2 linked regions of the Caenorhabditis elegans genome follow. The protein of the gene in region 1 interacts with the protein of each later gene in a pairwise test. Each region holds a gene or a part of one and is shown in the gene's direction. Other genes may lie near its edges.

Region 1 (4,583 bases):
ATGCAGTTCATATTGGAAATCCAAAAACTCTTGAATTCCAAGTTGCTCGAACATCCCTTCTTCCCGGACTTTTGAAAACACTGTCTTCCAACCGAGACATGCCACTCCCATTGAAATTGTTTGAGCTTCAAGATGTTATTGTGAAAGACTCAAATACAGATGTTGGAGCAAGAAATGAGAGAAGACTTGCTGCAGTGTACTACAATAGAGCTGCTGGTTTCGAGATTATTCAAGGATTCTTGGATCGAATTATGAGAATGCTAAATGTCAATCCTGCGCGCGACGGAACTGGATACTACATCGAAGCCGATGAAAGTAAGATTTGTATTTATGAGTCCTTATAATTGAAATATGCTACTTTTTCAGATTCAACCTACTTCCCAGGACGGTGTGCCAAGATTATCGGTCCAAAGGGAGTCGTTCTCGGACATATCGGCAAGTCATATTTAAAATGACATCCTTTTAATATTTAATATTTTAGGAGCTCTCCATCCAGAAGTTATCACCTCCTTCGGGCTCACATTGCCATGTGGAGCTGTCGAAATCAATGTGGAACCATTCCTTTAAACATATTTTTGTTACTTCCCGGTTTTTGGTTTTGTTATTGCGATTATTTATGGATTTTTCCTCTGAAATGTGGTTTTTAAATATTTCATGCTTGCTGTTTTTCTTTAATTAAAATGTTTCAACTAAGAGTTTTCATATTGGTTATTTCATTGTCTCTCGGTTTCATCCGTGGTTTTATCTACTCAAAAATTCTATGTGTCTCGTATTTAAAAACTGTAATTAAAGATGTTGGGTGATTGCCTCCTGATTATTGCGATCGCGTTCGGAACTGCCCTTGCCGGTGAAGGTATCACATGGCTTCTTGTGTATAGATCCGATCACTACAAAAGACTGAAAGCTGATATGGACAAGAAGACGAAGAAATTAGAGAAGAAGAAGCAAGAAGTCGGGGACACCAATGATAAAAATATCAAAAGAAAGCTTGAGAGAGAAGAAGAACGATTAAAGGCAACTAACAGAGATATGAGCATGTTCAAGATGAAATCAATGTTCGCGATTGGACTCGCGTTCACTGCACTCTTGTCTACATTCAACTCGATTTTTGAAGGACGTGTTGTCGCCAAACTTCCATTCTATCCAATTGGATTCATCCAGGGTCTTTCTCATAGAAACTTGGTAAGCATCGTTTGAAAAAAAACTCTGATAGCATGTAGTAAACTCGGTTTTTATTACTTTATTTTTTCAGATTGGCGAAGACATGACTGATTGTTCGTTCATTTTCCTTTATATTCTCTGTACCATGACCGTTCGTCAAAATCTCCAAAAAATCCTTGGATTCGCACCATCTCGCGCTATGGCTCGCCAACAGTCCTCACCATGGGCTCCACCAAACTCCCAAATGAACTATCTCCGTTAATTTAAGTAAAACTTTCACTTTCAACTCATGTGAAACCTATCTCTGATAATAAGCACTATTTATTTTCTTTCTCTTCCCAAAATTTTCAATCAAAAATCATATTTATTCTGTAAGTTTCAACTTCTGTGTGCTGCTCAATCATTCGTTTCTCAATGATTTTACTGGAATGAAATATATTCGTATGTTGTGATAATGAATACCAAGTTCTGTAATTCATTTTTTCTATGTTATTTCCGGGTTTAAATCTCTGGAATATTTGGAAATTGTATTCCACGAAAAATTTTGGATACTTTAACATTTTCAGTGAAATACAGAAAAATGAGTGACGAAGAAAAAAGACCGAATAGTCCCTCTGGATCAGAAGACAAAAAGAGCAGAAAACGGCATGTCTCACCGCAGCCTGTACCAATTCCTGGAGCTCAAGAATCGAAAAATACTCCATCGCTTCCACCATGGGTGGCTGGAGGATCACCAGCAAAGTTTGTCAGTCATGAAGAATTGATGAAAATGACAAATGAATTAGAAAATATGGAGTTGGTTCATGAAATTGCAATCGATCCTAATTTTCAAATTCCCGATAAACCAACAAATGCAATTCAACGATGTGTTCAGTGAGAAACTCCTTATTTATTTCAATTAAATAAATTAAAATTTTCAGAGAATCAATGCACAAGGCCTACTACAATCAGCTACGCCGGGATCTTGCCAAAGATCCTCCTGAACTGGAGTACTGTTTCAGTTTTCTGATGGAAGTCAAAACTGTAAGATGTTATATGAATTTTTAAAATAAAATTTCAATTTTCAGATGATTCTGGATGACATTTTAACTGCCCAACATACACGTTTAAAAGCTGAAATCAACTCGATGCTTGACGAAAGTAAATTCAATTTTTATTTTTTTTTTTTTAAGTTTAAATTTTTTCAGCTGCTCTACGTGGCAAGTTAGACCAAGGCCAGCTTGATATCAAGAAAGTGATGAAATATATTGTTGACTTATGCTCAAGACTGTGCTCTCCAGCCCGAGATGTGAAAGTTGCCGAATTAAGGACCAGAACTGACGTTATTGATATTTTCGAGTGAGCAGAAAATAAATGGAGAGAAATATTTTCTATTTTGTTTCAGAGGAACGATGGATCTTCTGGAGCTAATGAAAAATGATTTAACCAACTATCAAATATCACAGAACCGTGCGGCCATCGAGGAATACTCATCAAAACACGAATATGACATGTTTCAGAAATTTCTGATTGAGAATCCGAACGGATGTTATTTTGCCAGACAGTGGCTGAAAGCTGCATATGACGAGTTGTTTGAGAAAAAATTAGATGCTGAAGGAGAGGAGACATCAGTGAAAAAAGAGAGAAAAAATGAAGATACAGATACAGTCTTAATTGATACTACAAGTCGAGGTTATACTAAGTTAATTCAAGTCAATGAATATGATGGATTTCCGGAAACTTTGAAAATCGACAAAATCAAGATTGAATTGCTTGCGGAAAAGTTTTTGCAAATTGTTATGTGTGCATCATCTGTATTCGTCACATGCAATGTAGCAGGGAAACAAATTTCTGAAAGTGCAGATTTCAAGAAAACATTAAAAGATCATTTGATTGTAATCACAAATAATACAGACGAAGAGTGAGTCGCTTTGATTTTTATTCAAAGACCATATACAATAAAATATTATTTCAGACGAATAAAATCCGATCTCGAGAAAATCGGTGAGCAATGTGTGAAAGAGGCAGTCGACACGTCGAAGAAGCTGAATATCGAATGGAATACTGAAAGCTCAACATCTATTCGAAACCAAATCAACGCACTGATCAGCTCAGATAATCCTATCAGAAAGCTGGTTCATACCAGAGTTTCCACATTTGTTGAAGAAATGCTCCGAAGTCCAACTTCTGTTCCACATCGCCTACTTCCAGGTCTTTCTGTGATTCAATCTGAATTGTGTGCTTTCACATCGAAGTAAGCTAATTGAAGAATGAGAAAGTTGTTTGTGAAATTATGCAAATTTTACAGATTCCTTCGTCTCTGTGTCCACAACCGGAAGACATTTTACGCGATGTATTCCAACCTCATCCAGGAGTTTCAAGGACATACTCCTTCGACGCATGCAATCTATCGTGCTGATAGTCCCTCTTCTATGCCTGGTCCTAGCACATCTGCCTAATTCACAGAACAAAAAATCTGAAATATTTGCCACTTGTTATTACTGTAAAGTTCCAAATTCCGATCTTCAATATGCTTTGTGACATAATCTCATGCTTCTGATGGTTATCATTTATATATGTCAGCATTAATTATTTGGTTTCATATATATGTTCAATTATTTACATGAATTGGTGAGTGAGTGCTCGTTGTTCAACAACCTCCACAACTTTTCAAACAGTAAGTCTTCCTCTCGTCCAACGTGTAATAAGTGGAGTGACAGAAGCCATTTCGAGCCCATTTTGGACAGCTTGAAAGGAAAGGTCGAATTATGGAATAGTTCATTAATTTCTACAACTACATATTTAAAAGCATTTTCTAATAGCTATATTTTTCGATTTATACCTCTGAAACGAGTCACGACAACGAGATGTTTGTGGAAGACGAACAAATTGGGGGCAGAAACCACATGTTTTAGCACATTGACGCATCATTATCTGAAATAATAATACATGTTTTTCAAAACTCATTTTTTCCTCTTGAGCACTCTAAATTATTAAAATTTTTCATAAATTCAGCTCTTCCGTTTTATGAACAGTGCTGTGAAGTTTGGTATTAGTTGCTACAAAAGTTCCTACATCGTGGCAAGGCCCATCGAAAAAGCTATCGCGTACATTTAAAGTGAAGTCTTATTCTTTACCAATATTATTATGCTCAACTTCCCCAATTACTACTGAATAAATTTGGATTACAAACCCAAGAAAACCATTTGCTTTAATTTTCATATTTTGTGTTTAAAACTTACAGTCTTATACTCGTTTCGCGTGCACAATGGCTTCACTTTGGAGCATCTTTTCGAGATATCATAACAATTAATTGGTTTTGGAGCAGCTGTAGTTATCTTGGTTACTGTAGTTGTAGTTGTCGATTCTGATATTGATGTAGTCGTGGAATTTTCATTTATCAAAACATCTTCTGGAATATAAGAAAGTTTGGAAATAGATTG
Region 2 (3,169 bases), on another chromosome or scaffold:
ATTCAAAGCGTCATTAAAAATTGTTTCTTTTCAAAATAGATATAATGTGTTTTTTCTATTTCTAGCGGCGTGTACTTCAACATTTTTTTGTTGATTTCCGATAGTTTTGGAAACATTCTGAAAACTCGTAGTTGCTTATCCAATGTAAAACTTTCCAAATTCTCAAGCTATCTAAACAGAAATTAAAAAAAAACACGGGCAGTAAAAGGGTACCTGTGGTCAAGACTGACAAAACTTTCGAACCTGATCAGCTACAGGAGTTTAAAATATATTTTCTGAAAGTAAAATTAAAAAGGTTTTTGATATTTTTTCAACAAATGTTTTTTCTTTGAGATGTAACATTTTTCATATTATACCTACTGTTTGAACTGAAAAATGCTTCAATTTTTGCAAATTTTCAGTAACAATCATAGATTTTGAATGGGTTTGATATGGGGAATATACCAATTAACTGATTTCAAAAAGTTTCATCAAAATTCAAACTCAATTTTTCCAATTTTTTTCGAAACTCTATTTGAGATATTTGGCTAAAAATTGTTTTGTCCGGCTTTGTTCAAATGTGTCAAATTAGTTTATTTAACATAATTACTCACAGAGCCTGGGCTTTAAGCATTTTAAATTATTCGTAGAACTTAATAGAAACCAATGAAATTCAGTACTAACTCAAAAAATCTTGGTAAAATTAAAAGTTTCTAAATAAAACTATATCCAAAGATTGGTTTAATTGCATTAAACAATCTTTTTTACTGTTTTCTTTCAGGAAATTAACTAAAAATATACTTTACTGTGCTCGTTTTTGAGATTACGGCCAGGTACCCATTTATAGCCCGTGCGGTCGTCTCCCCCCTTCTTCCCTTCTTCCCACAGGTCCACAACGCCCCCTGCCGGCAGCCTTCTATAGGAGACGATCTGTAATGGTCTCCCTCCTGTCTGTGTCTCCGCCTCTATCACGCTCTCTCTTTCTTTGCTCAGGGGAAACGCCGGGTCTTCGTTCATCCAACTTCCCAATTGTTTTTCTGTCATTCACTCCTTTTTGCTTATACCCCCTTCTTGTGAGTACATCCCACTCTGTAGATGTGCTCCTTGCTTGACAAACCAGGTCCGCAGTCCGATTTAGGGGCTCGTGTTCTGGAACAGTTAAGGAAACCATGCTCTGTTGTATTTAGCTGGTTTCGCTACTAGCACTCCTTTTTTGTCCTGAGTTGATCGTGTTTGAAGCGGATTTCCGATCTAAATTTGTATAAATAAAAAAAACCTTTTTTCAACAAAAAAAAACAACAAAAAAATTCAAAGAAAAGAGATTCTTCGACTCTTCTCGACTTTTACTTAATTTTCACTCGACTTCTAGAATAATTATTCTAGAAGAAGTACGCTTTCCAACTTTCCTTCTCTTTTCTTCTCATCCCAATCCCTTCCCAAATCCCTACACCTGTTATGTTATGCATGCTCCCCTTTGTGTTTGAACATGGATCGACGGATCGAACGATGGATGGATTCTCTGGAACTATTACTGGAACAGTCTCTCGTGCGTCGGACAATCAATGGACACTGCTACATCCCTCTCTCTTTCCCCCCCCCCCCCGTCTTTGTTGGAAAGTTATTACGAAACTTCTGAAATCAGAAGTTTCTCAATCATTTTCTCATTTAGTATCAAACTTCTACAAACAGAAGTTTAAATATAACACCGCTAAGACAACTGTCTGAAACGGGAGATCGGAATTGAGGCTTAAACACATCATACACCGTATTCAGAGGTAGCGAATAAAGGCTAATGACCAACATCATGCTAGTACTTCTGTTCCTAACGAACAATGAGAACCGATGTTGGGCCCATACTGCGATACGATCGGGCGGTTCTTGCTCTATGGAATACTTGGGTGATGATGTGCAGTTCTTACGGTGTAGAGCATCACATGAAGAAGCAACTCCTATTCAAAGCTATCGTCACCACCTGCATAATCACCAAGCAACAGCAAAGAGCAGAAAAAGGACGACCGTAAGACGTAAGATTTTGTTTATTTTTAACATTTTTGATTCAAAAATCCCAAATTTAGTTCTCAAAAACCAAAGATTCCAAAAAATTGGAATCAATTTTTTTTGCCAAACCCGAATTTTTCTTTTTAAAAAATCCTGAATAAAAATTTCTGAAAATTCAGGATTTACAAAAAAGCCAAGAGCTAAAGATTTCAGTGGATTCATTTGGTCGGGTATTTCGGAATGGCTCCGGCCACAAAATGTGCCTTACAAACATGTGTTTTCCGCAACTATCACACGGTTTGGAAATGGAAAACATCGTTTTACAAGGCACGGTTTTGTGGGCGGGGCCAATCCGGAATACCCCGACCGAATGAATTTCCCCTCGGCATTCTTCCCAGAAGGCCCAAAAGGCCTTCTGATGAAGTGGGGGGGGGGGGGGGGGGGAGAGCTGACCGCGTGCTCTTCTACTTCCCAGGAGCACACTTTTCGAATATACGGCCCCATGTGAACAACTTTCTTATCAGAATCATTATTTCCGGTAATTATAAAAGTGTTTTTTTACAGAACAGAAGAAGAAGGAACGAACGACGACGGAAAGAAGACATGGACAAAAGGTGGCGATAGTATGGAGTTGAATTGGAACGAGATCTCACTCAAGATCTCGAGCGACGATGGATCGGGATGGATCGAGATGGAACGATAGATTCGAATGCGACGATCGGGTTCGGTGAACGGGATGGATTCTGGATAGACTCGGGATGGATGAAGATGGATCGGAATGGATCGGGATGGATCGGGATAGATTGGGATGGATCGGGATGCATCGGGATGGATTGGGATGGATTGGAATGGATCGGGATGGCTCTGGATGGATCGGGATGGATCGGGATGGATTGGGATGTATCGGGATGTATCGGGATGGATCGGGATGGATCGGGATGGATCGGGATGGATCGGGATGGATCGGGATGGATCGGGATGGATCGGGATGGATCGGGATGGATCGGGATGGATTGGGATGGATGGCATCGGGTGATGGCGAGAACAACGACGACGACGACGACAACGACGACAACAACAAAGGATTGGCATGGTTGGATCGGGAGAAGGCGAGAGCAAGGACAAGGACGACAACGACAAGGACAACAAAGGATCTGAATGGTAAGGAAAGATTTAAATGATGCTTCAGCTA

What was found.
Region 2: the proteins of M05D6.2 (region 1) and Y13C8A.1 interact in a two-hybrid assay, tested with the Caenorhabditis elegans proteins (one large-scale study listed by BioGRID).

The regions. Positions count from the first base shown.
Region 1 is NC_003280.10:8,466,382-8,470,964, forward strand, and holds M05D6.2 (T-complex protein 11-like protein 1), read left to right. Parts: upstream 1-1,727; 5' UTR 1,728-1,741; coding exon 1,742-2,034; intron 2,035-2,081; coding exon 2,082-2,184; intron 2,185-2,228; coding exon 2,229-2,301; intron 2,302-2,348; coding exon 2,349-2,499; intron 2,500-2,545; coding exon 2,546-3,061; intron 3,062-3,115; coding exon 3,116-3,394; intron 3,395-3,448; coding exon 3,449-3,599; 3' UTR 3,600-3,781; downstream 3,782-4,583. Other genes in the region: fars-3 (Phenylalanine--tRNA ligase beta subunit), read left to right, coding at 1-315, 367-435, 482-567; F22B5.10 (Calcium load-activated calcium channel homolog), read left to right, coding at 793-1,182, 1,253-1,423; M05D6.8 (ShKT domain-containing protein), read right to left, coding at 3,791-3,887, 3,983-4,074, 4,383-4,552.
Region 2 is NC_003284.9:16,881,862-16,885,030, forward strand, and holds Y13C8A.1 (uncharacterized protein), read left to right. Parts: upstream 1-1,864; coding exon 1,865-2,003; intron 2,004-2,541; coding exon 2,542-2,612; downstream 2,613-3,169.